Diceros bicornis minor: one gene and its partners. The protein of the gene in region 3 interacts with the protein of the main gene of each other region in a pairwise test. Links are inferred from orthologs where the notes say so. Each region holds a gene or a part of one and is shown on either strand. Other genes may lie near its edges. The genes, in order: SAXO1, PLSCR3, STK16 and TRIM42.

Region 1 (7,719 bases), on a different chromosome or scaffold from region 3:
GATACCAGGCAAGGCTCAGTGGGGGATTCTAAAAGACCACAGTAGAGGCAAGACAAGCCACTGAAATCCACAGATGCTGTTCTCCTTACAAATAGGTTAGGTTCTAAAACACTATTGGAAGTCCATTTGTTTGAAAAGCCCAAAGTTGTGTTATACTAGCTACTATTCATGCTGCCTGGTGGTGGCAGGAAGAGTTGCCATGTTTTTCTTCTGATGAATAGCTTTGTTGGCAACTATGAAAATTCTTAACCTGTAAGGTTATAAGTTAAGGACTGTACAAGGCAGTACAGAAGAGAAAGGATCCTAAAAGAGGTAGGGACATGACACCATGCACACTAGAGGAGAGTCACAGCCATAACAAGGAGCAGTGGGATCGTCAGTAGCTCCCTGGGGTGGTGGTGGTGGTGTAGTGGTGGCTTTCAAGATGGGCCTTGAAAAAAGGGAAGCATTTTGGAAAAGTGAAAGTGGCGGGAAAGAGAGCAACTCCAGGGACCGTTACAGGTGTATAAAACTGAAGCTGGGCTCTGCGGAGAGAGGAGAATTATGGAAAACTCCTTCAATTAATTGTTCATGTCTTTTAATGCCTCTGATTGTGTCACATGAAAGCAGGTCAGAGAGTCCAAGCAAGGGACAAATTCCATATTAGCCAACAAAAATATTTCTAGGCATCTTTCTAGCACTTGAGTGCTTACAGTTCTTTTGTCTGTACCTTCAAATCCTAGACCTGCACTTTCCAACAGGGAAGCGACCACCACATGTGGCCTTTGAGCCCTTGAAATGTGGTAGTCCTAATTCAGACGTGCTGTCAGTGTAAAACACATCTTGGATTTTGAAGATGTAGAGGGAAAGTAAAAGATCTCATTAATAATTTTTTATATTGATTATATGTTGAAGTTATAATATTTTGAATAGATTGGGTTAAGTAAAATATTAAAATTAATTTTACCTGTTTCTTTTTACCATTTTAATGTGGCTAGTAGAAAATTTAAAATGACGTATGTGGCTCTCATTCATGGCTTGCATTCCATTTCTATTGGATGGTGCTATTCTAGAGGTGCTCGTTACATCCTTAAAGTTCTGTCATCTGTTCTAGGGTTCCTTGAGTCACAGTTGGCTCTGAGTGAGGTGCATGTCAGGAAATGCACATCGTCATTCTGATGTAATAGAGATGTAGGTTCTGTTTATGGTTAGGTCATGTACTTCATTCTCTGAGCTTCAGATTTTTCATCTACGTAGTGGGGATGTTGGGTCATATATTCTCCATGGCCCCTTTCAATTGCAAAACTCTATGATTCTGGCTTGGAGTCAACTACTGCTGAGTTTTTCTGGGTTCCATTGAAAGGTGTCTATTACCCCTTTTACCAAATATCAGAAAACGTCAGGATTATTTCCTTTTTACCTCTGGTCCTTTGGTAAATCCTGAGTGGAATGACTTTAGAGAGTTCTGATAGACTGAAGAAACCTTCTCTCTCCCCTTTTCCTTCTCTACCTATTGGCCCCATCTAGGCTTGTTTGTGCTGCTGAGCAAGGTGGCCAAGGCAGCTCCTAAAATGAGTACAAGTATCCGAGAACTGGAAGAGGTCTCATTTTTTTGGTTCATGACTGTCAAGCCTACATTTAAATCTTGCAAGCGTGGTGATTCCACATACTTTCTTTAGGCACTGATTAGGTCCATATAAACAGAGAATGTCTCTTTTCCCTTTTGGCTCTACTGATGTTTGAGCAAATCAGTTGTTTTCCTTTTCCGGAGGACTTGTAAATATCTTGTAGCAGTTCATTGTCCTATACACTGTCCGACTGCCCATCCATCTATTAAATAAATACATAAGCATTAGGATAGCTTCCAGAACACAGAGATGTCAGTCTTGGTCTTTATCGTAGAGGAAGTCCTGTTTAAGGAGGGGGTGGGCAGACCAACAAGGAGAAGATACAGTGCTTGGTGTCTTGAGAAGAATATTCTGGGTATTTGGGTACAGGTAAGGAGAGGTGACCCCATGAGCAAAGTCAAGCAATGAAATATTCGCTTTCAAATAAGAGTTTTTGAAATTTCAAAGTGAGACAAGGTTTTAGTTAACTAGCAGCAAGTCAAATCAGATCTGCCCTCTATGTGTCAATATAATTCCATTTAATGGAACATCAGTGTCTGAATGGAAGCTCGTTGCTATACTGAAATCCCCTCATGATACCAATCACAGTGTAGTATTTTGCCTTCACATTTATTTTTCTTTTGGAATAAGCCTTTACAGGATGTTACAATTTTAAAAAGTAACAATATGGAAAGGGGGTTATATAAAAGCAACATTTTACTGGTTAAAAAACAAGGGACCTGGAGAAGGAAAATATTGCTATATCTGTGGAGTCTGTTTTATTGCAAGTCCCTGAATCTAAGTTATTCTTAAAAAAATCTTGACTTTTCTTTCAAAGAGTGTGAGTGAATAAATATCTCTGTGGAGGTATTTTTGGTACTTCTTGGCTTTTGATTTGAGGTTTGTTGGAGTCTTAAAATGGTAGGGTACTAATTGGGTCAGATTGAAATCTCAGAGAATTGGACTGATTGTGAGCACAGATGATAATAATATCTAACATTTTTATACTGTGGGGAATGGTTATTTTGTATACTATGAAACTCCGCAATTTATCTCTTGAGTGGACAGGTGAAAGCCTGTATGTACCTATGATTAGGAGATACTTTATTAAATAGATACAAAATATAAATACGTATTCATCTTTGTACATTAAATGCCAACAATGTGCATTTTGAAAAAAGAATACTAAACTTTTATTGAGTGTATTTAACACTGTAAAATTCAGATATTCATAATATAAGGACAGTATACTTATGGAAGATTTCCTTGTAAATAATTAGAAAGATCTAAAATGTTCCCCATGAACCAATAGTACTTTTACAATAACAAAAATAAAAAATAAATGTAACAAGTTTATATCATCATAAGGCTTTTCCAATACACAAATCTATGAATGAGAAGAAAATAAATAGAGATATTTCTAAAGGAACTTGTTTATATGTAATTCAACCCATATGAACAATACAGGCTTGATCATTTTCTCTGGGGGTTGGGGGGTTGATGAGAGGTACACAGTAACAGTAAATGTTGGCTGCAACATTTGCGTAGAGGATTGAACTTATTAACAACAGGAGCAGCCTGCTAATCGTTGCCTGGAAAATAGCTTTAGATTTGAGCAGTGATGAGTTCCCTGTATGTCTGTTTCTCTCTCCCTCCTCCACGTGCTGCCCCACGGTACTGTGTATTTTAGTTTCTGTAATTAAAATCGATTCTGTGTAAAAAATTTAAAAATAATTCTATTTTTGATATAACTTTGTCATTCCTCGATATGACCAAGTTGGAAATCACTAGCAAGGAGTTTTGTTGATGTGCTAGTATCTAATGACTAGAGATGCCCTAAGTGGTTGGTAAGGATGGTATGTGGGCACACAGATAATTGATATACTACTTAGTTTTTGAGAGCTCAAACAGCTACCCTTTGTCCAGCTGTAGAATAATGTCCAGATAGTAGAATAATGAGGTTCATTTATTACCATGAGTGCAAAATGGACAAGCTTACTATAAATCATAACGTCAAATTATAATCTGTCATCTACCTGCATATTGAGGCATAAGGTTCATTTAATCATTCATTTATATATTCAATAATTTATTCAATAAAGGTTTATTGAAAGCTTAGTGTGTATCACGTAGGATATGAGGTGCTAGGGCTGTAGCTGTGAGCAAGATAGAAAAGGTCCTGAGCTTAATAGATGAGACAGACAGTAAACAAGCTTACCAACAAACATGCCTATTACAGATAACATTGAGTGATGAGGAAGGCGTACACAGTGATGAGGGAAACCGCGAGAGAGGGGACAGGGTGGTGGGGTGTAGTGTAGGTATAAGGTGATCAGCGGAGGTCTTTCTAAGGAGGCAACAATTCAGATGAGACCTGAAAGAATAAATAAGCCAGACTTTCAATGTGAAAATGGTTTCACGTAGTCAGTGGTGGTCAGTATACTCAGAACTGAGGTGGTTCTGCTATGTGTGCACTGATGTTCTGAATTGACCCAGGAACCATGAGGAGAGACACCAGCACACAGCCTTGGAGCATCTTGTTAGGTCAGGTATTAAGCCCTTAATTGCTGGGCAATTGGGAGGCCCGGGGAGGTCTCAGGGCAGGTCATGGGGCAGCTGGGTTGGCACTCAGAGAACTCAGGGCCACAACCATTTTCCTATTATGGGGTGGAAGTATTTCAATATTTAAAGAAGCAGTGTGGTACGTGTAGTAGCTGAATATCAGCCACACTTGTGTGTAATTTTATGGTCCAAGGAATTTTGACAATTAACCAACTGCAGTTATAGATCATTTAAAAAATTCTGGCTACTTCACATAGTTTAGTAGAGAAAAGGAAGGGTTAAATTCCTGCTTTCAATGCCAGCATTCACATGATTTTATGACTGGGTCACATTTTGAGGAGGTAGCATTATCAGACTGGATGTACTCTTCCTAAGAAGGTAAGCGACCTAACTTCATGTGTCTTTTGTAGGCGGCACCACTGTCCGCATCTCCCTACCAAGATTTACGATAAAACAGAGAAACCATGTCTTCTCTCCGAATACACCGAGAACTACCCTCTCTATCACTCCTATCTGCCCAGAGAGTCCTTCAAGCCCAAGCTGGAGTACCAGAAAGGGTCCATACCAATGGAAGGTCTGAGCACATCGAGGTGAGGGCAAGTAGTGTGAATATATGAACGTACAGCACTAGTGGAGTAACGTACAGTACTAATGTACAGTGTTAATGAAATAATGTACAGTCTTGCATTAATGTACAGTATCAACATATGCTATTAATGCTTTAATGTTAATTTGCTATATCTCTGAAAGGAAAATTCTGTATTTATTAGCCTGGTTGGTTTTTCCCAACCTCCTCTTAAAGAGAAAGGATTCTTGCTTGCTGGTGGGAGTGGGGAGACTAAATTGATCTACATAACGAAGGGTTGGAGGTTAAGCAAACTAATAAAACGATGGAAAGAGAGGGGCTGCTGCTGAAAAAGCAGTTTTGAGCTTTGGAACATAAGCGCCACGTCATCTAGGCTGGTGATGGCGGTGGTGGTGAAAGACAACTTGATAATAGAGAAAGAGTGAGCTTTTTGGAAATGATGCCGTAGACTTTGAATTGGGGTCCCCTTGAATGTCCTTGAAGAAAATGAACGAAGAATGTATTTCTTTAGCTCCAGGGCTGTGCAGAGACTGAACCACATGGCTCAATGGATTCGGGGTGCAGAGGGATCTGTATTGAGGGGTCGCTTTATGATAAGCCATTATCCTAAATGATTTGGTTTAAGCACAATGTTTCTGGGTCCTGATTCATAAAAAAATTATATTTTATGCAACCTGTTTTTTAGCCTGTGACTTAAACAATATGAACCTTAAAGTTTGCGCTTCGTTTTGCCAAGAAAACAGCATCCTTAGTTTCTGAGAGTCTAAAGACCACAAAAAGAGATGTGCACCATTCCTGAGCATTGCTTTTCCTTTTAAGAAACCATGGTCAATGCTAATGAAAAGTCCTCTGCACACATATGCACAAGAGACAAGTAACTGGTCGAAAAGAGTCAGAGTAATCTTGAAGAATGGTCTGCAAATATCCCGTTCAGCCTCTGGTGCTGGTCTTCCCATCTCTTTATATGCAATTTCCAGGAAATCAAGCGCACCTTGTGAGATGTAAACCAGTCTCAGATGTTGTTATATAAGGGATATATTTCCTATCCTGGAAATAGAGAAAAGGATGCTTTGAGGGATGGATGTTGAGGGGTGCCCTTTGTTTGTTGCCCACAAACTTAAGAGAATGAGGGCAAATCTTCTCTCTGGAGCTGGAGCCCTGCCCCATCACCCAACTCTGAGGCCCCCAGCTGGAGCCCCACATGCCCTCCCTCTTCCTGACAGTGCTTTGCAAAACAAAAACTTCCCCTCTGACCTGTCCTAAATTATCCCTGCCTTATGTCACTTACAATAAACATATGACCCAGAAGTTCCTTCTGTCCCTGCCAGGGCCAGAGTAGCAATATTATTCATGTCAAGATGTGGCCAAAGTGGAGGAATGCAGACACGGAAAGAATTTCCAGAACAAGTTGTTAATGATCATAAGGGCCTTAAAAAGAAAAACTGACAGGATCAAGGTTACCCATGAAGAGAATGAAGCAGAAATTCTTCTCTCTCTCTCGTTTGTTTCCTTCCCCAGAGAGGGAACTAAAGGATGAAATGAGCAGAGGGCATCCCTTCTCTTCTCTCCCCTAAGTTGTATCATTTCTCAGCCCTGTGCCTGCCTGGGCACTAGTTTTCATAGATCAAGAACAAAACTGTGTCTCAGTCAGGATGCATTTTTTTTTTTTGAGTTCCAGTAAGCTTTTATTGAGATAAATTAACAAACATCAAGATTTTACCAACCATCGTTTCTGAACCTTATAAACTCAGCAAAGATTCTGGTCCATATGTGTACATACAACAAAACTATTTCCTATCGGGAAAGGTAAAGAAGCATCATCTGGGTGCTGTACCAGAGGCTTCTGGGGGAAAGGATGGGTCAGCCCTGTGTCTTCACACCCCTGTATCTGCATGGAGTGTCTCCCTCTGCCCTTAGAACCCTTGTTATCGAATGTTCCACCAATTTCTCTATTTAAAGTCTGACCCAGCGTCATTTTTGAGATCGGACATGGGGCTGCCACCTGCTGAATGAAAAAGTCACGGGACCTGGGCCTTGGCTTGGTTTGCTGATTAAGCCCAGACACAAAAAACACCTGGTTTCTGGAAAGGTTATCATCCCAGCACGAGGCATCATTACAGCTGCACACAGCTCTTACTGACTGTAAATCTTGGGGATTTACAGCAGGTGCCATGAGGTGAATGCTCATGATTTCAGCCCTTCTTAGTATGAAACTGTTTCTTGCAGCCCTTGGTAATTCTCTCACGTAGGTTCTGCCTTTAGTTCATATACCTGAGATCAATTAATGAATAAGAGGTTTGCACTTCAAGCCTCACTTCCCCTTAGGCACGTCACTTATGTGAGACACTTGGGCCCCAGTTTGGGGCATTATTTTGTTAGCTAAGCCAGATTCCTAAAGATGGGCAAAGTGAATAGTCTCATAAGAAAGAGATGAGTCTTCAAGATGGTATTAGATATTTATTCTAAAGTGAGTGGCACCATGGGTAGGGAGAACTGGAGGCCCAGGGGGGAAGATGGAATTGGGTTCAGACTTGATGACTTTGGCTGAAGGGCAGAGGGCAGGGAGTTGGCAGCACAGACTCCTTCATTTATTGACAAGACTCCTGGGTAAAGTGAAGAGAGTAAGGGAAGCAGGAGCTAAAAGAGAAAAGGCATTTGGAATCCTTCCCCAAAGTCAGGAAAGAAGCAAGAAAGTTGGTAGTGGGCTTGAGTCTTTCCCTACTCATTGAATTTTACATATTTTCTATTCAAATACATACTTGACTTCTCTACTCATCCATACCCCTCGGGATATGCTTACTCTCCTGTATAGATGGGGCCTGAGAATTAATGAAGACATGCAGAAATAGGCCTCAGCACTAGACTTGCTGGGCAATTTCAGAGCCTTTGATGTGCATCTTTGACTAAATTTGGGGATATTTTGCATATTATTTCTTCAAGTATTCTTTTCTGTCTCTGAGGCTCTGTTCATTTCTTTCCTCCAAT
Region 2 (6,854 bases), on a different chromosome or scaffold from region 3:
ACAGACTCAAGAATCATCCTCTACTCTAAATCTGGGCTGGCCTTAGAGTTTTTCCCCCTCAAGACAGGCCTGCAGGTAACAATCAGCAATGGTCCTTAAGATGAAACCCTTTTTGCCGTGTTTTTGTAAGACCATGGGGCCATCATGTTTCTGAATGGAGGCAAACTGGAAGTGTGGTGGGAGTCACAGTGGATTGGGATTGATGAGCTCAGGGTCTTGACCTTAGTGTTGGCCATCCTGCCTCATGGATCATCTTTATGGAGGTCCCAGAAACCTCCCCTTATGCCTGATACGTACCTCAAAGTTAGTGTCTGTGCCACAGCCACAGGTCCAGCAGGGCCCCACCACTCTCAAGATGGTCTTTCGATCGGCATCCTGGATGGAGAACTTGGGGAGGAAGGGATGCCAGGTCTGTAGCACATGGCCAATGGTGGTGCCAGGTGGAGCCTGTACTTCCATCTGGAGTGGGAGGCAGTCAGGGTCACTGCTGAGCCAGGGCATCCTGGCCCAAGCTCTCACCAGTCCAGCTCTACCACCTATCTCCCCTCACAAGGCCTCCCATCCCCTTCACTAGACCACCTGTCATCCCCCTCACTAGACCTCTCATCCCACCTGCCCACTCCCACCAGAGCGAAGCCTCATCCCAGGCCTCATCCCTCGTCCTGCCCCACAATTGGCCCGCCCCATTAAGGCCTGCCCCCTACCCAAGTCACTCCCAGGCTCTATCCCTCCCCGCCCACCTCCTGGAGACCACACGGGCAGCAGCTGCAGCCACAGCGGAGGGGGCGGAGCAGGCGCAGCACCTCTCGGTCCCCGGGGTCCACCAGGCGGACACGCAGTGGCCGGCCGGCACCACAGCACAGACGGGCGCAGCAGTTGCTCTCCTCAGCCGCCTGACCCAGGGGCTGTCCGGCCCCCGAGCGCAGTTCATACCGGTTACTTGTCTCCCAGCCTAGGAGCGCTGCCAAGGGGTGATACGCTGAGGCTCAGGCACCGGCGCCTGTCCAAAAGCCCACTATCTCTGCCCCCATCACGAGGCCCAACCTACTCCTCCTTCCACTCACTTTCCACTCGCTCAGCCTTCTGATGAATCAAGATCTGATCAATCTGGAAAGAGAGTAGGGGCCGCCCCGCCGTCAGCTGGCCGGCTTGGACGTCCGGTCCCTTTCCCGTCACTCCTCCCTCCTCCCCTCCCTCCCACTCACCTGCACCAGGAATTCGAGGCCAGAAGGCACCCCTGGCAGTGGCAAGAAGGGGACAGCAGGCCCCGGGGCCCCGGGGCCAGGAGAAGGGAAGAGAGCGAAGCCGGGCGCAGGGGCAGGCGCGTGGGCGGGCACTGGCGCCTGCCCGGGCCCAGGATGCAGCGCCGGCTCCGGGTACCCGGCAGTCACAGGGTAGGGAGGTGGGGGCGAAGGGGCGTAGTCTTTAGGGGGCAAATGGCCTGTGGGGGGACAGGAGTAGATTAGAATAGGACCCGCGGCCTCATCCCCAAACCCCTTAGCCCACGGGCCACGAGGCCACGGGGGAAATGTGGTGGCAAGAGACTGAGAAAGATGGGGCGGGGGAGCAGGGCGGCGGCTCCCCGGGAGGAAGGGAGGAGCCCCACTAAGCCAGTCTGAGCACATTCCCAGAGGATGTGTTCGACACCCGGCTCCCAGGTCCGTGGGGGGATAACGGAGACCCTCGGCCTTGCGCCCACTTACCTGCCATGGGGAAGGGGCGAGGGTTCGCGGGATGTCGGTATCCGAGAAGCTTAGTTCTAGAAGTGGAGGCAAGCTCGGAGACAGCCAGACAGACACAGAGACAGACACAAAGACGGACAGGCAAACGCCGAAAGGCAGCTGCGCCCGGCGCCGGCCCAGGGTCTCTTGGGCGGCGCCTCTGACTCGGAGAGAAACCGAAAGTGTCAGCGGGCGGGGCAGGGTACCTGGGACCCTGGATTCCCTCAGGGGCCCCAGAACCGCCCCCTCCCTTTGTTCTCCCATTTTCCGCGGAGTAGGCTGTAGGCAGACGGCAGGACAGATGGACCTGCGGTCAGACCGACGACCCGACCTCGAGGGAGATCTCCTGACCCTTCTGTGCCCCCCGCTCACCTGAAGCCCCTAGAATAGCCGGGGTGCCCAGCACTCGGCGGCTCTCAGAAGCTAGTGGAGGCGGGCCCAGGACCTGACTCCGCCCCTCGACCCGTCCAGGCCCCGCCTCCCCGGCCTGGGTGGCGCGGCTGCGCAGAAATGATGCCGGCTCTCCCGCGGGGCCGCGGACTCTGGACCACCGGTTCCTTCTGGTTGTCCGCGTTCCCGCCCTTTCCGCTCTCATGTAGAGTCCGAGAAAGGAAGCTCGCCTGGGGAGGGCAGCCGGCTGAGACCTAGCCCTGCGACACCCATCAGGTCTACGGGCGCAGAGTCCTCAGTCCCCCTTAGTGGGAACGAGGGCCGCTTGCGCGGCCCTGGACCCCAGGCTCCTCCTCCCAAGGGCGGTTCGGGCCTCGCTGACGCAGCGGAACACCCTTCACACTCGTTGGCTTCTAGGACTGGCTCCTGGCTCCCTTTCCACCTCTCTGGGGCTACCTCGCTGTCCCCTCTCCCTGGCGCAGCAGTGACCCACACAGACACCTTGCAATTCCAGTACTTCCTTCAGGCGCCCCCAGCCACGCGGGTGACAGGCCGCCAAACCGAGTCAATAATGAGCGTGCGTGAGGTGAGGCGCGGGGCCAGAGGAGGCAGCGCGGTCAGCAGGAAAGGCTTCCCCCAAGAAGAGTCTCTTCCTCTCGATCCTGAGCAGAGGCATGCAGGCGTGAGGAAGTCCTGCGCCTTGGGGGCCTATAGGCTGAGTGGCAAGAGATGAGTTTAGAGAGGGAGTCCAGCCCACGTGCACAGAGGGCCTTCTGGGAGCTGGGACTCGGCCCCAAGGACAGCAGCTAGCCCACTGAAAGATTTTAAGACCGAGGGAGGTCAGATGTTTTAGAAAAACCATTAAAACTGCAGCGTGGAGAACAATGGAGGCACTCAGGCTGGCTTGTTGGCAGTAGTCGGGGGCGAGGGGGAGGATGGCTGTGGTAGTGCAGACCGACAGCAGAGGCAGATTTTGGAGATATCTAGACAATAATATAGAACTTGTTTGGGGGGTGAGATGTGGAGGTGAGGAGTCCAGGATGACCCTAGGTGCCTGCCTGGTGACCAGGCAGGTGGAGGCGTCACCCATCAAGATGAACATGGGGAGATGCAACTTCGGGGGTTCCTCTGCCTCTATGTCCATGTTCCTCTGGGCTGGTCAGCTGCTCCCACAGCTTCAGTCATCATCTGCTTCAGACCCAAGTGCCTGGTACCCCTTAGTGCCTCAGATTCTACATGACCCAAACCATGGGCCAGCCTCCACGAAAACACATAGACGTACAGAAATTCAGTTATTCAACCAAGATTTAGTGAGCACTTACTGTATGTCAGACAGCATTGAAAGTGATAGGAATATACAGCAGTTAAAAAGAATTGACAAAAATTCCTGATCTCCTTGGGTTTACATTCTAATGGAGAAGAGACTGATAATGTAAACAAAATACATCGGAAGTCAGATGGTGACAAACGCTATGAAGAAAAATAGAACAGGATAGGAGGACAGAGAGTGGTGGGCAAGAGTTGCAATTTTGAAGAGGGTGGACTAGGAAGGCATCATCAGGAAGGTGATAGTTGAGCAAAGACCTAAGGGAAGGTCAAGGATTGAGCCATGCACACTTCTAGGTGAAGAGTGTTTCAGGCAGAGGGAACAACAAGGGCCAAGGCCCCAAAGCAGAAGTGTGCCTTACTTGTTCCATGAACAAAAAGGAGACTGGTGTGGCTGGAATGGAATGGAATGAACGAGGGGGAGGTAAGAGAGGTCACAGGAGGCCAGATCACATACGGCCTTTTAAATCATTGGATTATACTCTGAGTGAAATGGGCAGTGTTGGAGGGTTTGGACAGAGAAGAGACATGAGACTTACATACCAAATCAGTGGTCCTCAACCCTGGCCACAAGTTAGAATCATCTGGGGGTGCTTTAAAAATCCCTCTGCCTGGGCCCCACTTCATATCAATTAAATTAGAATATGTGGGGCAAGGTGCAGACCTAAGAACTTTTTGAAAATTTCCCAGCAGATTTTTTTTTTTTTGGTGAGGAAGATTGTCCCTGAGCTAACATCTGTGCCAATCTTCCTCTATTTTTTGTATGTGGGATGCTGCCACAGCATGGCTTGATGAGTGGTGTGTACGTCCACACCTGGGGATCCAAATCTGTGAACCCTGGGCCAGGAGGCCGAAGTGGAACACACGATCTTAACCACTATGCCACCAGGACGGGCCCCCCAGCAGATTTTAAATTGCAACCAAGGCTGAGGACTACTGTATTAGAAGGGTCTCTCTCTCTCTCAGGCTGCAGTGTCCAGAATAGGCTATAGGTAGGCAAGGGCAGAAGGAAGTTCTTGCAAAGAGCTGGGTGAGATATGATGGTGGCTCAGACCAGGCACCAGAGTGGTAGCAATGGAGGTGGTGAGAAATGGTCAGATTCCGGTTATGTATTTGAACCAAGAGGATTTGATGATGGCTTGGATATAGGATGTGAGGCAAAGGGAAGTCAAAGTTGACTGGGGCTTGTCCCAGGAGACCCTTCACAGTGTGGGCTCCACCCTTACTCTGGTCATTTCCCGCCTGCCCCCTCCGTCCTGAGCTCCAAACACTCCTGTTCTCCCTCTTGTTACCAGCGTGATCTTGTCCCTTTTTTCTGGTGAACTATTCATGCTGAAACCCAGCAGATGGACGGAAGTGCTACCAGTCCCCAAAGGCAAAACAAGCCCACCTCAGTATCTCCTTGTAACACTCAACATATTGTAACCAATTATTTTTTTAAAGGGTCCGTCTTCACTGCTGAAATCTGAGTTTCTTGGTATGTACAAGAAGGAAAGAACTTAGCTCTGGGAATTGGACAGAAGAGAGACTGAATCACAGCTTACCCACGTCCCAGCTGTATGATATAGAACAAGTTACTTCAACTCTCTTATCTTCACTTCCCACTAACTTGCAGGGCTCTTGAAAAGACTGAATACAATGTGCAGTAATAATAGGGACCAATTATCAAGCAGGCCTTATTTATCTTGGTTCCCCAAGAGTTCAGCCCAAAGCTAAGGTATTAGGGATCACATTACATGGAGGGTGGCCATTCCAGATTCCGGATTCTCCACCTGGAGGTTCTATGTGCCCCAGACATTACCTGAGATGAAGGATGGAAATGCAGCAAGAGCACTGGACTGGGAGGTAGGAGCCTGGGGATCCAGTGCTGGCTCTGCCACTGGCACTCGGGCTACTCTGGAGGTCCCCTCTGAGACCTTATTTCACTCATCTTTAAAATGAAGAAATATTGTGATCCTCTACTAATACACCTCAAATCATGCCTCCTCCCTTGATATAAATGTTTCAGTGGCTCTCCATTGCCCTCAGAACAGAGTCCAACCTCTCAGCACAGGGCCCTCCACCATTTGGCCCCTGCTACCCGCATTGTTGGCTACTGACCCTCTCAAGATCCTCAAGCCAGCCACCAGGAATTCTTTCAGGTCTTGAATGCACTAGGCTCTCCCCTGCTTCAGGGCTGCCTCAAAAGCTCTTGCCTTGGTTTGGAACACACCCCTCTCTCTCCTCATCACCTAACTCCTCCGGGTCTCCAGTGAACACCCTTTTACACTGCAGCTACTACAGGAATCTGGAGCTCAGGAGGGACTGGGGTGGAAGATAGACATTCTGGATTGAAAAGTATGCAGATTGTAATTAAAGATATGGGGCTGAATGAGATTACCTGAAAATCTTCTCATTTGGAGAAATGGTCTATACTTTTTTGAATGCGCACCTTCAGAAAAATTAAGTATGCACGTAATATACTATACAGATATGCACTTTATAAAACATACACAAAAATAGAAATCAAAAAGGATGAAATTAAAATATGTATACATAGGCGTTCTATTTTTGTGTGTGTGTGAGGAAGATTAGCCCCTGAACTAACATCCAATGCCAATCCTCCTCTTTTTTGCTGAGGAAGATTGGCCCTGGGCTAACATCCGTGCCCATCTTCCTCTACATTATATGGGACCCCGCCACAGCATGGCTTTACAAGCAGTGGGTTGGTGCGCGCCTGGGATCTGAACCTGCAAACCCTGGGCTGCCAAAGTGGAGCACGCGCACTTAACCGCCACACCACTGGGCTGGCCCCATGTTTTTCTTTTTCATTAAAATTTGGAAGCCATTGATTTCAACTGGGTAGAGGAGAAGCTGGCAAAGCAGCCACAGAGATGGGGAAAACCAGAAGAGTGGTGTCACAGAAGTGACATGATGTGTTTCAAAGACAGTGTGGCCAATTGTGTCAAATGCTGCAGAAAAGCTGAGGAAGATGAGACTGAAAATCATGCACTGGATCTGGCAACCAGGAGGTCATAGTGATTCACAGGATCCCTCCAAGGGCATTTATGGGGAAGAGATGGGATGGAAGACTGATCAGAGTGGGTTGCAGAGTAAACTTGAGTCCAGACCTCTCTCCCGAGCTCAGACACCTTCCTGAGCTCCCCAACTACCTGCTTGGTGCCTCCACTTGGATGTGTCCTAAGCAACACGTCCAAAACTGATCTTCTAATCTGCCTCCCCCTAATCTGCCCCTCCTTTGGTTTTTCTCATTTGGGTAACAGCACCTCCATTCAACCAGATGCGTAAACTAGAAATCTTTCTCTCATTCGCCCCTTATATCCAATCCATCAGCAAGTCCTATCAGCATTATCTTCAAAATAGTCCTTTCACCACCTCTTGCAGCCTAAAGCAAGCCACCTTCATCATCTGACATCT
Region 3 (8,011 bases):
AGATAATTAAACATATGTTAACAGGATCCCCCTGGCTGCTGTATTGAGAATAGACTACATGGGGGAGGGGCAAAGAAGGGCAACCAGTTGGGAAGCTATTAAAATAGTCCAGCTGAGAGGTGGTTTGGACCAGGGTGGTGGCAGTGGGGGTGATGAAAAGTAGTTGAATTCGATATATTTGGAGGATAAAGCTGGCAGGATTTTCTGATGGATTGAATGTGGGGTGTGAGAGAAAAATAGGCCTCAAACATACCATAGTGTTTAGCCCGATCAGTTGGGAAACAGAGTTGCTGTTAACCGAGATGGGGAGATTGTAGGAACTGCTGGTTTGGGAAGCAATACAGGAGTTGAGTTGCATCATTATGCCTTTTAGATCTCCAAATGCAGAAGCCAAGTAGACAGTTGGATATACATTTCTGGAGGCCAAGGGAGGGTCCTGACTGGAGATACACATTTCAGAGTTATTACCTATTAGATGGAATTTAAAGCCAGGCGAAAGGATGAGATCATCTACGGAGTGAACATAGTTAGAAAGGAAAAGCACCCAAGGACTGAGCCCTAAAACAAGCCAGCATTTAGCGGAAAGGAAAATAAAGAAGAATGAGTAAGAGACTGAGAAGTGGTCAAAAAGATTAGGGGGGAGGGGCAGGGACCAGATAGTGTGGCATCATGGAAGCCAAGAGAAGAAGGTATTTCAAAGGACAGAGTGATAGACTGTGCCGAATGCTGCTGATTGGTCAAGGAGGATGAGGCCTAAGAAATCACCATGGATTTAGCAACGAAGAGGTCACTGGTTTTCTTGAGAAAAACAGAGATTGCATGTTTGGTGTTCCAGCCATACTTTATCATTTTAAACGTATTTCATAGTCAACTGAGTTTAGGAAATGCTGTAAGGGACATAAAGCTCTCCAGCACCCTAAGAAGTGGAACAGTACCTAGAGAGTTCCTCAGCAGATATAAGGCATTTACCAGAATGATCTTTTTAAAAGGTATAAATCAGATAAAGTTATTCCCTTGCTGTAATGACTTACTATTTGCACCTGAAATGAAATCCAAATTCCTTGAAATATTGGGCATCTCAGAGCTTAATCTTGAGTTCTCATCGTTTGTTTCTCTACGCTCTTTCCCCAGGTGATGTCTCAGTCCCCATGGGTGTAAATGCCATATTTAGACTGACGACTCCCAGATTTCTCTCTCTAGCTCAGACCCCCGCCCCGCCCCGAGGCTCCACACTCACACATCCTATTGCTTGCAATATCCTCACCTGAGTGTGATATGATAAAAATTTAACATGACCATAAGTATTGTTTTTACCCCCAAGAGTTGCTCCTTTGCCACTCCTAGTCTTCTCTATCTTCCCTGTATCAGTAAATGGCACCACCACCTTGACTGGCCAGAAACTTGATTCCTCTCTTTCCGGCCCCTACCCACACTATCCCCGCCCCTCCTCTTCCCATCAAAATCTATCAACAGTCCTGGTGATTTTTATCTCCAACCTGTATCTCAACTCTGCCCTCTTCTTTCCATTTCCATCACCATCACCTTAGTCCAGGAGCCATCATCTCTCTCCTCAACCACAGTCATAGTCTCCCAATTAGTTTCTCCACCTCCACCCTTGCTCCCCTCAATCCATTCTCCATATCCAGGCTCAAGTAATCTGAAAACAAACCAGGTATGTCTGGTTATACTCTTTCAATGGCTTTCTACTGTGCTTAGAATAAAATGCGAACCCCTCACAATGGCCTACAAGGTCCTGCATTAATAGTTACTATCTATCACCAATTTCATGTCACACTGCTCTCTCCCTTACTCGCTATGCTCCAGCCATGCTGGCCTCAACCATGCCATATTCTTTCCCAGAGAAGAATATTCTCGGGGTCTTACAATATACCATTCCCTCTACCTGCTCATTCTCTCCTCACTCTTCATATGACCAGAGCTTTCCCTTCCCTAGAGTCAAGTGAAATGTCATCTTCTCAGAAAAGCCATTTCTGACCTCCCCACCTAAAAGAGGCCCACTGTGTTATTCACGATCTCAACTCCTTGTCTGTTTTCTTGTGTGGTATCTCTACAGCTTGCAATAATCTTAGAGGTCTTTGGTTTTTTTAAGAATCTGCTGCTTTCACTATAAGTTGCATTGCACAGGGACTGGGTCTGTCTGGTCCCCCTGATTCTAGCATCCTGCTGGGCATGAAGGAAACACTCAATAAATATTTGAATGAATGATCTCCAATCAGGGGACACTCTCTTCTGTTTTGGGCACCCAAATGACTCATTTTGTTATTGTTTACTTTTTCCTGTGGTAAATCTTTTGTCTCAACTCACCTGGATCTGAGGTTCTCAGATGAATTTTAGGTTTTCGAAGCAACCAGGCTGGGAGACCCCCCTGAGACAAACACGAAGACAACAAAGAAACATGTAGGTTTTGCTGAGAGTGGAGTAGGGAGGTAAGAAGAGAGTAAGTTGAAGTGGCCCGAGAGTGTGGGCACATGGGTATAGTAGGAACCGCACATGGGTGGCTGTGGTTCTATCCCTTCTCCAACTAACTCACCATCTCCCACTCTGCACAGATGTAAGGTCCTGGTCTCAGTATGACCAACAGGTTCGCTATAGCTGCCTCATTTAGAAATGCAATGAGGTCTCGGCTGCCATGAAAGTTATAGACCCCAGGCTCTGGTTCATGGTAGTTCCAGGGCACATAACTGAGAAAGGAAGAGGTTAACAGGGCCCAAGGAGGGTAGGGGACTGCCGGGGAGGCCTAAGGGCTCAGGCCTTGCAGGGAATCTCCAGGAAGTTGTTGGAAGGAGGTCCCGGCCCGCCTTTTCCCACCCTTGGCCTGGAGGCTCTGAGCTCTAATCCCTCCTCATACCCAGCCAGTCTTCCTGTCCAGAGCCCCTTAACGGGGTGGTAGGAAGAGTAAATCCCACCCCTCCCTGGCTTGCACGAGCACTTCTTACAACTGCACGGTGTTGAGGCCACTCATTCGCATCTTGAAAAGCCGGTCTGCCCAAAGCACCCTCGGTACCCGAAAGTAGTGGAGGCTGCCAGACACGTAGCGGAACGGGACCCCGTCCAGGAGAAATCTGTCATGATCCCGATCCACTACGAACGACCGAGTGTCTGCCTGCAAGGGGACAGACCGTGCTCAGCAGAGGTCTGGAGTGGGCAGTCAGCGTCTCCCGAGAGCAGATGAGATGGAACTAGCCCTGCCCGTTGTTTTGTTATTTTCACTTTCTTTCTCTCCTCCGCCAGATCCGATCCCACCTCACTGCACCCAGCCGGCCGGTTCAACCCTCTCTTCTTACCTGGGGCAGCAGCAGCGTCAGGAGCGGCAGCAGCAGGGAGGGAAGGCAGCGGGGCTTCTTGGGAGCCATGGCGCTTACCGGGGTCCTAGAGTCAGAGACAGCGGACCGATCATCACGTGGTGGATTCCTGGGAGGGAACCTCAGAGAGCAAGGGGGCGGAGACTACCTCAAATTGCCAGGCAATTAGCCTGGACTTTGTCTCCAGCCTGCAGCCACCCGCTACTCTACTGTGTGTAAAATCCTTTACATTTGAACCAGCTTCCTCAGCATCACCTGGGAGCTTGTTAGAAATGCAGAGTCCTACCTCTGACCTATAGAATCAGAATTTGTATTTTAACAAGATTCCCGGGCGATCCTAAGCAGTGCTCTACTAGACTGAGCTCCCTGAGGATGGGAAGTGCCTTTTGCCCATCTTGAATCCCCAGCTTCTAGCACAGGGCCGGGCACATAGCAGGTTAAATCTAGATGAATGTCAGAACCGGGGGCTAAAACAGGTTCCGAACCAAGGGAAACTGTAGGAAGATCTTCCCAGTGATGTGGGGGGGGAGGGTTACAAAACGGATCTTTTTCCTAGAGAGCCCTGTTTCAGCAAAAGAGACCATCCAGACCATTCCATCTTCTTTGGAAGAGCACCCCTTTCCAATTGATCGCTGCCTGCCTGGGCAAGAGATGTCAAAAACAGCTGCCTGGTGCCAAGGCTTGGGAATTTATGAATTCCACTCCTGCCTTCACAGTCCCAAACCTAGGATGTGAGAACCAGGGTAATAATAATAATTATTATTATTTCTGTTTATTGACATTTACTGAGGGCTGTGTGTCAGATATTGTGCTAAGCACTTTACATCTCATTTAATCTTCAGACAACTGGATGAGATAGATAATTATCATTCCCATTTTACAGATGAGGAAATCGAGGAACGAGAATATTAAGTAGCCTGTCCAAGGTCACACAACTATTTTAGTAGAGCTGGGATCTGAACTAGGCAGTCTGGCCTCACTGTTCATGCACTTAACCTTAGGTGCTATTATACCTATTTTACAGTTAGGGAAAGAGAGACTCCGAAAGGTTATGTAACTTGTCTGAGGTCACACAGCTTGAGACCTCAGATCTATTAAGACCGGATTTAGACCCTAGTCTGGTTCAAGAGCCTGAGCTCTTAACCGCAGAGACGAGGTAGTGGGATACAGGCCAGAGCCTCCCAGGTTGTACTGATCAGAGCTCTAGGGGGCCAAGCAGCCAGTACTCGCCCCTCCTTGCGTCCCCCTCCGGGCTGAACTGTAGTCACCCACCCAGCGCGCCGGAGGGATGAGGCCTCCTACCTCCGGCATTGGGAGATGGAGGTCCTGGGGGCCTCGGGCCGAGCCCGGCTTTGCTCCCCTTTGCCGTAGGTGCCTGCGTCTTGACCCCTACTGAAGGCCAGGCGTGGAACCCTCTGCGGGTCCTGGGACCGGTCCTCCCCAGGCCTAGCCCGCCCCCGGCCTCCCAGCTCCACGCCCCCACATCCTCCGGACGCCCGGCGGTTGCTAGGAGACCGCGGGCCGTTATGCCAGCGCGGACTGATGACGTAACCACTGCTTCCGGTCCCTGGCGCTTCCCTTTGGCCGGAGCCAGGTCAGTAGGGGGGCTGGGCTGGGTAACCCAGGGCTCTGTGCGCCGAGGACGAGGGTGGGCCATGCAACGGGTGGGCCCGAGCCTCGCCCCCCCGGACCCCCGGAACTGGCCTCTGCCGTACGTTTGCGGCGCGACGGGCGTGGGAGCCGGGGCCGCCCGAAGGTGCGCTGGGGGTGGAGGAAGCGTCTGGTAGTGTGTGGCCTGAGGCTTCAAGGCACCTGACCCCAGGCTTCTTGGAGCTGGCGTCGCCAGGGCCCGTTTTTTCTAGGTTCCGAGACCTGGGCCTGAGCTCTCCACATTGGGACTCCAGGGGTCATCTGGATTGTGCCCGACCCGCGACCCTGCCGGTTTTTCCCTTCCAGCATGATCCGCTGGGCCTCCAGTGCGTCGCCTGGAGGAGCCCACTCAACCTGGACGAACTCTTTGGCAGCCTCAGAACGTCCTTGAGGAGGATGAGTGAGACACTATGGGCCACGCGCTCTGTGTCTGCTCTCGGGGAACTGTCGTCATTGACAATAAGCGCTACCTCTTCATCCAGAAACTCGGGGAGGGGTGAGTGTTTGGAAATCACTTAGCTGGTCCCCAGGGTTGTGGTGATTGGGGGACATAAGTCTGAACGTGATAGGGGCATAAAGGTTTTATTCTCTAACCTATCCTTTAACTCACCTGACAGAGCCTAGCTACACGTAGTCAAAAAAGTGGATTCTGGGGCCAGGCCTCCTAGATCCACGTTCTGTGACCTTGATAAGCCATGGTTTCTTCATCTCCTTAACGGAGATAATGATCTTGTGTCACTGATGGAGCTGTGAGGATTAAAAGAGAGAACACATATAAAATGTCTCGGTCAATGCCTGGTTCATAGCACGTGATAAATGTTGACTATTATTTATTTAATATTTATTGAGCATCTGTCATTTTCAGAGCATTGCGTTATGACTGTGGAACCTCAAAGATTACTATGTCCCTGCTCTTGAGCTCAAAGTGTAATAGTCTTCAGATGTCTCTTAGAGCCACGTCTTGGGAGGGTTTCTAATAAATGGGAAAGACAGCCCCCTCTTCTCCCAGGGAGTTCTGGGTCCAAGCCATGTGGGAGATGACCGTGGTCCTTCACTGACCCCTTTGGCCCACAGTGGGTTCAGCTATGTGGACCTAGTGGAGGGGTTACATGATGGACACTTCTACGCCCTGAAGCGGATCCTGTGTCACGAGCAGCAGGACCGGGAAGACGCCCAGCGAGAAGCAGACATGCATCGCCTCTTCTATCAGCCCAACATCCTTCGCCTTGTGGCTTATTGTCTGAAGGAGCGGGGCAGTAAACATGAGGCCTGGCTGCTGCTGCCTTTCTTCAAGGTCAGAAAGTCTCCTGGTTACAGAGGGGGTTGCAACAGAGCCACCTCCCAAGGCCTGTGTGAGCAGGCAAGCATGTTAGGAAACAGAAGCCATGTCCTGGGTTTGACCACTTGGGGTTCAGAGGAAGCCAAGGGTGACTGTGGAGTGTGTGTGGTGAAAGGGTCGATAGGCTTTTGACATAGGGAAGGGATCAGGCTCAGGGAGCAGAGACTTGAAAAGCCTCTCCAACTGTGGGGAAACTTGTGTTGCAGAGAGGTACGTTGTGGACCGAGATAGAAAGGCTGAAGGACACAGGCAACTTCTTGACTGAAGATCAGATCCTTCGGCTGCTGCTGGGTATCTGCAGAGGCCTTGAGGCCATTCATGCCAAGGGTTATGCCCACAGGTCAGTGGGAGGGCCCTGTGTCCCTGCTGGGACAGAAAGGAAGAGCCTCACCAAGAGAAATGAGAGATCTCTGCTCTCCTCCCATGATTCTTTTGCCCCCTGGGATTCCAGCTTCCCTGTCCAGGGACACTCATGGGTCATTTCCACTTCCCTACAGGGACCTGAAGCCCACCAATATCTTGCTTGGAGATGAGGGGCAGCCGGTTTTAATGGACTTGGGTTCCATGAATCAAGCATGCATCCACGTGGAGGGCTCCCGCCAGGCTCTGGCCCTGCAGGTAAGAGAGTCTCCAGGTTCCTTTGCCCACCTGCTCCCCATCCTTGACCCCTTCTGCTGCATGCCCCCGTTTGGTCACATGACCATGACCTGTTGTCCCACTTTTGAGCTCTGGGGCCACTGTTCCAGGACTGGGCAGCTCAGCGGTGCACCATCTCATACCGGGCCCCGGAGCTCTTCTCTGTGCAGAGCCACTGTGTCATCGATGAGCGGACTGATGTCTGGGTGAGGAGGAATACTGCTCTGCACCTACGGTGGGGGAGAGGAGCAGGTTTCTGGTGCATGGGGCCCCAGGAACCATATATGTCCCCATCCCCCTTGACTTCCTTCCTGGGAACTGTCACTGTATTCAGTTGCTCAGGAAGTGGTTAAATCCTGGGGTACAGCTAAATGTCAGGGCTGAAGGCAGTGACTAAGCAAGGGGTGCAGAGGCCTCTGGCTAACTGGCAGTTTTCTCTGAGCCCTGGTGGTGTGACATGGCTGAGGTCGGCATAGTCCTTCTGGCTTATGTAGTCTCCTTTCACTACAGAATTAAGAGGAGAGTGATCACCTCCACTGGTCTTCCAAGGAATAACCAAGTTATGCTCAGTCCCTAGGCTGTGTGCTATATGCCATGATGTTTGGGGAAGGCCCTTATGACATGGTGTTCCAGAAGGGTGACAGTGTGGCCCTTGCTGTGCAGAACCAACTCAGCATCCCGCAGAGCCCCAGGTGAGCGGTAACGGGCACTAAGCATTTCAGACTCCTCCCTGACATGAGCACAGTCGGAGCCTTAGCACGGGGGATGGGTGCCCTGCAGTCACCCTGCCCTCCTCCCACAGGCATTCTTCAGCACTGCGGCAGCTGCTGGCCTCCATGATGACCGTGGACCCGCAGCAGCGCCCTCACATTCCTCTCCTCCTCAGTCAGTTGGAGGCACTGCAACCCTCAGCTCCGGGCCAGCACACTACCCAAATCTGAATAAACGTGGCCACATTGAGGACGTGGCCCCTGTGCCTTGGAAAGAGTCTCCCATCCCTCACTGGAATCTGTCCATTGTATCCAGGATGCTCTCTTGTATTTGGGGGCAGCTCAGTCTTCTT
Region 4 (6,823 bases), on a different chromosome or scaffold from region 3:
CCCCACTGCTGCTAGCCAGCTCATGTCCACAATAGAGGAGAACGATGGTCAAGTCCATGACAAGTGTGTGCTTCTGCTGTTTGTGTGTGTGTGTATGTTGATTCTTTATTTGTCTAATATCCAAGGCTGATTTCATATATTTAATTGTAAGAACTATGGATGAAGAAAAAGCATACTTGTAAAATTCAAGTGCATGTTCTAAGAAGCTACCATCAGGGCAAAAGCAGATGATGAAAAGAAATGAATTCACTGTGGGGATGGAGGAGTAAACAGACACACAATTGGTGACTGTTCCTATTTCTTCTCCTCTGTTCACATTAGTGACGTTTGGGTGTTGATCTTGATGTTGTGGCTGTGTTGTCTTCTGCTGTTCCTTCTTGCAGTCCCCATCTGCCCCTGTCTCCTTCCCCATCCCCTTGGCCAGGGACCTATGTCTCGGAGCCCAGAGAGTTAAAGTTGCTGCCCAGACATGTTGGAGTAGAGTGGCCCTGTGGTGGCAGAGAGTGCACCTTGTGGAGACTCAGGCACCTGGAAGGCTCCTCCCTTAGGGATTTGGCTGCTGGGCTCCAGGCCTGCCGGCCTCAATGTTCTCAGCCCTGAGCCCTCCCTGCTTTCCCAGCCTCCTCCCTGGGCCCTGAAGGGCTCACCTGGAGATGCAGGTCAATTGTTCACAGGGTAGCTGGATGGTCTTCTCTAGTTTGATAAGGTGGGAATCTGAGAATCAGGTGTAACATGAAGGGAGACAGCAAGAGAAATCAGAAGAAGGAGGGAGTGGGGGTGGTGTTGGGGGAAGAGGAAGAGAGAGAGGGCAAGGCTAAGAGACAGGTGTTAACGGCCCAGGGAGAAGGGGTACAGGTGGAACAGGAAGTGAGCAGAAGAGATGAGTGAGGCGGACAGGGATGGATACGGCCAGAGTGAGGCAGGAGGAGCGAGACGCTGAGCAGGAAGTGGTGGTGAGGAACAGGAAGGGCAGCGGTTCAGGAGAGAGGCCAGATGGAAGATCAGCCTCAGTGCGCCCAGAGCCAACCCCTTGACACTTGCGATAGCATCCCTGCCCACCCTCGGAAAGCTCAGGCTTGGACCCGGGCATCCAGTGGCCACGGTTCCGCGCCAGAACAGTTCCAAGCGCCGCGGCCTTGCCTGCTTGCTGAGATCTCCAGCCTCTGCTCCTCTGCACAGCCTGCTCCCTCTCCCGAATTCAGCCCTGTTCTTCCTGCTCCTGGGTTCTCACTCTACCACCCAGCAAGTCTCCCAGCTTCCCTCCTTGTCCCCTCCAGGCAGTTCTGCGCTTTAGAATCACCTGGGAGGGGACCTGTACAATTCTGATGCCTAGGTCGTTCCCCAGACCAATAAAATCAGAATGTCTAGGGGCGGGAGCCAGGCATCAGTAGTCTTTAAAGATCCCCAAGTGATTCCATGCAAAGCAGTTGGGAGCTACTGGCTTAAGGCATCTTCCCAAAGAACCAATGTCATCCCTCGCCTGTTGAAATGGGCTCAGTGACTCTCCATTGCTGATGCGCAGAAAGTGGGGCAGTTGAGAGGAGAGAGGAGTGTGGACACTACTTTCTGCACCTCAGAGCTTCTGGACCTGCATCCGGGACCCCTGGGTTCTCTATTCGCACAAGCACCATGAGAGGTCCCTGAGCAGAGGGTAACATCTATTAAGCATCTACTAAGTGTGAACTGCAAGACAGAGCATACTCTTCCCCTGAGTTCACTGAACCTTTCTCACAGTATGGCTTTTCCAGCCTTAAAAGGCTTCAAACCTGCCTCTCACTTTTCTGCCTTTCCAAATCCTGTCATCTTACAGCGCTCAGCTTTGATCGTTCCTCCTCAAGGGAGCCTGCCTACTGCTCCCAGATCCCCCTCATGTGTGACATAAAAAGCCTGGCTTGGTCAGAGCGGGAAGAGGATGTGCACTGCCTGAGACAGGGAGTGAATGCCCCAAATGAGTAACTGAGACCCTCAGTGCCATGACTTCTGGATAGAAATGGAGAGAAAGCTGGCAGAAGGTCACGGCCATCTGGGGGACTTATGTAGGCCATAGGGGTCAAAAGCTGTGGAAGTTCTTGCTTTTCCGATAAGTGTTGCAGATATCAAGAGTTCAGAGGAGGAAGAGGAGGAGCAATTTGTATTTTTATGTCACATAACAGACTACAGAGCACGTACATTAATCCTCAAACCCACCGAATCGTGATAGGCGTTGTTCTCTCCATTTTGCACCAGAGCGTTTTAAAGTTAAGAGCACAGACTTTGGGTTCAAATCCTGACCACATCTTACTGGCTGTTTGATCCTGGGCTGCTTACCCTCTCAAGGGCTCCGTTTCCTCATTGCACAGTGGGCGTGTGCTGGGGGTCGGATGGGGCCGTGCATGCAGTGCCTGGCAAGTTGCTTAAGCACTAAGTCTTAGCTATGACTGTTTGTACAGACGAGAGAGCTGAGGTTCAGGGGAGCACAGTGCTTGTTCACACATGGGGGACTTGGAACTCAGGTCTCTCCACGGTTAGTGGCTGTTTAGGACACACTCAATTGCTACAAAATTCTTGGGTTCCTTTTTTCAGCTAGAGAAATGTACTCGCAGGACCGCTGGCCTTCCCTGTGGACCCCACAGCTGGCAGGGGCCCCCAGTTTTCCTGAGCCAGTGTGGCCCACGTTGGGTGCCCGGCACTTACGAGATGCGGATGCTCTTGAGGCGGCCCTTGCGGAATGTGATGGTGGCATTGCGGCAGCAGCGGCTCTCGTAGTAGTAGCACTTGAGGTTGCTGCTGGTCGTGCAGCAGCACTTACAGTTGGGGTCATTGGCCCAGGAGCAGCAGCACCAGTGGCAGTTGGGGTTCTCGGAGCAGGTGCAGTGGCAGCACTGACAGTTCCGCTCATCCTTGTAAGGGCAGGGAAAGCAGGTGCAGTTCCGCTCCGAGGTGAAGAGGAACTTGCAGCACAGACAGGAGCATAGTCGAGGACAGCATCTCTGCCATGTACAACATGGAGAGCAAACACACATGGCGGTCTCCATGGTGCCTACATGATTGCCACCGCCCTCTGGGCCTCTTGATGCCTCCTCTACTAGAATCTTCCTGTGAGTTCTCCTGTGAGGAGGACCCTCCTCTCCCTGATGAGCCCGTCAGCTTGGAGGTTGCAAGAGGTTGGCTGTTATGAGGCCTTCACAGGCTGTGTTCCTACTGGGAAGCTCATGGGCTGGCATTTACATATATCAGACTGAGGCCATTCGCTTATGTCACAATCCCTGTCTACCTACCATATCTCACCAAGCTGGGTAGGTGGGAGGGTGAGATCTGGGGGGTAGTGGCAGGTGGGCTGATGGACACTCCATGCTTTCAGAGGACCAACTCCAGAGGAGAGTTAATGCCATGAGCCATCCTGGAGCTTTAGCTGTCACTTGTCACCTTTTAGGTTATGGGGTGGATTTCAGAAGCTATTTCTCTTTGCTTGGTGCTTTTCCTGCAACTTGGGTAAGTTGACTTCAGGGTATGTCTTTATAGGCTGAAAGGCCTGGGTATGATTAATTGGAAAAGTAGACTGACGTGATGTTCCTCTCCTTGGGCTTTTTCTGCCTTGATAGAACTCTTTGTTTTATGAACAAAGCACGCTGTTTACAAATGATAGCAATGCTACATTTAAAGGGAATCACCATTTGGAGAAAGAATTAAAGGAAAAAAAGATGTAAGTTCACTTAGGCGCTTCTTTCAGTAGTGGTTGAGTTGGTCAGTTGCTGCATCGTCACTGCTGCTTCTCATGAGTCTTCATGCATAAGTTACTCTGAACATTTCTTGGCTTTTTTATAGCTTCATGGTGAAACGGAGGCTTCAAGGCTGAGGCTCAAGCTCTGTTTCTCCCCCTCCTCCCATCCCACTATATCCCTTTTATCAATAGGCTGGAACTCTACATGAGAACCTTTAACTCTTCTTTTAGTACATGCTCAGTATCTCTAGAAACGACCTTATATTTTAGGGGAGAATTTTGCTTTCCACTCTATGCAGCTTGAAAAGAGTTAAAGAGCAGAAATTTCAGGGCCGGCCCCATGGCTCAGCGGTTAAGTGCGCGCGCTCCGCTGCTGGTGGCCCGGGTTCGGATCCCGGGATCCCGGGCGCGCACCGACACACTGCTTGTCAGGTCATGCTGAGGCCGCGTCCCACGTACAGCAATTAGAAGGATGTGAAACTATGATGTACAACTATCTACTGGCGCTTTGGGGGGAAAAATAAATAAATAAAATTAAAGAGCAGAAATTTCATGGTCATTTGGTATAAACACTCTGGTGTAAACACTCTTATTATTTTTCCAAAAAGAAGCAGAAATGAGAGCTGAATTTGGCTGCAGTAGTTTATTGCATAATTTATTATCTCTCCCTATGATTCTCACCTTTATAACAGGAATGTTCACTGAGTACCAACAGTGTTAGCCACACATTGATCTTAGATTCCTACAAATGAAAATCCTGGATCATAGGGTATGTGCTTTATTTTTTTGATAGATACTACTAAATTGCTTACTTAAATGTGTGTGCCAGTTTATAGTGACATCAATAATGTATGAAAGACATTTTTTCCCTATGAGTTTTGTGAACTCAATTTTATCAATATTCCTTTCTACCTGCCAGGTACAGAGGTTTGTTTCACTCCTGAATTTCTAGTACATTTTCATCATTGGTCTGTGCAAGGCTTTCTCTTGTTTTTTTTTCCTTTCGTTTCTTTTTAAATCCTTATTGAAATATAATTTATTTACCATTAAACTCACCACTTTAAAGTCAACAATTTAATGGTTTTTAGTATACTCTCAAGACTGTGCAACTATCACCACTATCTAAATCCAGAACATTTTTATCACCCCAAAACGATACTGTGTACTCATTAGCAGTCATTGCCTATGCCCTCTCCCTGCAGCCCCTGGCGACCATTAATCTACTTTCTGTAATATTGATACATGCTAAAACATGGATGAAAATTGAAAACATTATGCTAAGTGGAAGAAGCCAGATACAAAAGGTCACATTGTATATATTGTATATTGTATATTATATGGCTGTACCACATTTTGTTTATTCATTATCAGTTGATGGGCATTTTGGTTGTTTCCACTTTTTGGCTATTAGTAATAACGTTGCTGTGAACATTTGTGTGCAAGTTTTTGTTTGAACATATGTTTTCAGTTCTCTTGACTATATACCTAGGAGTAGAATTTCTGGGTCATATGCTAACTCTATGTTTAACTTTTTGAGGCAATGCCAAGCTGTTTCCAAAACAGCTGCATCATTTTGCATTTTTGCATTCCCACCAGCAATGTATGAGGTTATAATTTCTCCAGATCCTCACCAAAACTTGTTATTGTTCTTTTAAAATTATTATTATTATAACCATTATAGTGGGTATAAAGTGGGATCTCATTGTGGTTTAGATTTGAATTTCCTTGATGGCTAATGATGTTGCGAACTTTTTCATATGCTTATTGGACATTTGGATATCTTTTTTGGAGAAATGTCTGTTCAAGTCCCATTTTAAAATTGAATTGTCCTTTTTATCGTTGAGTTGTAAGAGTTCTTTGTATAATATAGGTACTATACCCTTATCAGATATATGATTTGCAAATATTTTTTCCATTCTGTTGTTTGTCTTTTCACTTTTTTGATAGTGTCCTTTGAAGCACAAAAGTTTTAATTTTGATGAAGTCTAATTTACCTGTATTTTTGTTGTTGTTGCTTGCTCTTCTGGTGTTATTTAAGAAACCTTTGCCAATTCCAAGATTTTAGAGATTTACACCTATGTTTTCTCCTAATAGCTTTGTATTTGAGCTCTTACTCTTAGGTCTTTGATCCATTTTGAATTAATTTTTGTATTTGACATTTGAATGTCCATATATGTGGTTTATTACTGGACTCTCTATTCTAGTCCTTTGATCTATACGTCTATTTTTACACTAACCACACTGTTCTGATTACTGCAGGTTTGTAGTAAGTTTTGAAATTGGGAAGTGTGAATTCTCTACTTTTGTTCTTCCTTTAAAGATTGTCTTGGATATTCTGATTCCCTTGTATTTCAATATAAACTTTAGGATCAGCTCTTCCATTTTGGCACAGAAGTCCATTAGAATCTTGATAGGGATTGCATTTAATCTATAGATCAATTTGAGGAGGATTGTCATCTTAGCTATATTAAGTTTTTCAATCCATGAACACAAGATGTCCTTCCATTTATATAGGACTTCTTTACTTTCTGTCAACAACGATTTTCTTTTTTGGTTTTTGTTTTTGGCTTAATCCAATACTATTTATTATCTTATAGTTCTGGAGATCAGAAGTCCAAAATAGGTCTCATTGGGCTAAAATCAAGATGTCAGCAGGGTTGTATTCCTTCTGAAGGCTCTAGGAGAAAATCTTTGCCTTTTCCAGCTTCTGGAGCCCACCTGCATTCCTTGGCTTGCGGCCGCCTTCCTCCATCTTCAAAACCAGCATCCTAGCATGTTCAGATCTCTCTCTCTCTGACCTCTTCACACCTCTTCCTTTATCACATCTCCTCTGACTCTGATCCTCCTGACTCCCTGTCAACAATGTTTTTTAATTTTCAGTGTACAAGTCTTGTACTTCTATGGTTAAATTAATTCCTAAGTATATTATTCTTTTGATACTACTGTAAATGAAATTGTTTTCTTAATTTTATTTTTGGATTGTTCATTGTTAGTGTAGAGAAATAAGCTGATTTTTCAATGTTGGTCTTGTATCCTGCAACTTTGATGAACTCATTATTAGCTCTAATCTTTTTTTGTTGATTTTTAAGGAATTTTTTATATATATGACTTCATGTTATCATG

Evidence for each region.
Region 1: the proteins of STK16 (region 3) and SAXO1 interact in binary tests that used the Homo sapiens proteins (3 or more experiments, as listed by UniProt). The two-hybrid records come from large-scale screens. The link is inferred for Diceros bicornis minor from reciprocal best matches to the Homo sapiens genes STK16 and SAXO1.
Region 2: the proteins of STK16 (region 3) and PLSCR3 interact in binary tests that used the Homo sapiens proteins (3 or more experiments, as listed by UniProt). The two-hybrid records come from large-scale screens. The link is inferred for Diceros bicornis minor from reciprocal best matches to the Homo sapiens genes STK16 and PLSCR3.
Region 4: the proteins of STK16 (region 3) and TRIM42 interact in binary tests that used the Homo sapiens proteins (3 or more experiments, as listed by UniProt). The two-hybrid records come from large-scale screens. The link is inferred for Diceros bicornis minor from reciprocal best matches to the Homo sapiens genes STK16 and TRIM42.

What each region holds. Positions count from the first base shown.
Region 1 is NC_080761.1:41,259,546-41,267,264, reverse strand, and holds the start of SAXO1 (stabilizer of axonemal microtubules 1), read left to right. Parts: upstream 1-4,700; 5' UTR 4,701-4,715; coding exon 4,716-4,738; intron 4,739-7,719. UniProt on the Homo sapiens protein: May play a role in the regulation of cilium length. Stabilizes microtubules at low temperature.
Region 2 is NC_080757.1:10,920,031-10,926,884, reverse strand, and holds the start of PLSCR3 (phospholipid scramblase 3), read right to left. Parts: upstream 3,003-6,854; 5' UTR 2,613-3,002; exon of another isoform or gene 1,882-2,612; 5' UTR 1,711-1,881; coding exon 1,704-1,710; intron 1,442-1,703; coding exon 1,206-1,441; intron 1,108-1,205; coding exon 1,065-1,107; intron 962-1,064; coding exon 741-961; intron 460-740; coding exon 298-459; intron 1-297. UniProt on the Homo sapiens protein: Catalyzes calcium-induced ATP-independent rapid bidirectional and non-specific movement of the phospholipids (lipid scrambling or lipid flip-flop) between the inner and outer membrane of the mitochondria.
Region 3 is NC_080776.1:9,544,423-9,552,433, forward strand, and holds the start of STK16 (serine/threonine-protein kinase 16), read left to right. Parts: upstream 1-4,999; 5' UTR 5,000-5,079; intron 5,080-5,085; exon of another isoform or gene 5,086-5,279; 5' UTR 5,280-5,383; coding exon 5,384-5,469; intron 5,470-5,583; exon of another isoform or gene 5,584-6,047; coding exon 6,048-6,267; intron 6,268-6,518; coding exon 6,519-6,652; intron 6,653-6,809; coding exon 6,810-6,930; intron 6,931-7,058; coding exon 7,059-7,154; intron 7,155-7,518; coding exon 7,519-7,640; intron 7,641-7,750; coding exon 7,751-7,889; 3' UTR 7,890-8,011. Other genes in the region: GLB1L (beta-galactosidase-1-like protein), read right to left, coding at 2,326-2,386, 2,552-2,702, 2,958-3,124, 3,306-3,374. UniProt on the Homo sapiens protein: Membrane-associated protein kinase that phosphorylates on serine and threonine residues. In vitro substrates include DRG1, ENO1 and EIF4EBP1. Also autophosphorylates. May be involved in secretory vesicle trafficking or intracellular signaling.
Region 4 is NC_080741.1:12,847,354-12,854,176, forward strand, and holds the start of TRIM42 (tripartite motif-containing protein 42), read right to left. Parts: upstream 3,015-6,823; coding exon 2,674-3,014; intron 1-2,673.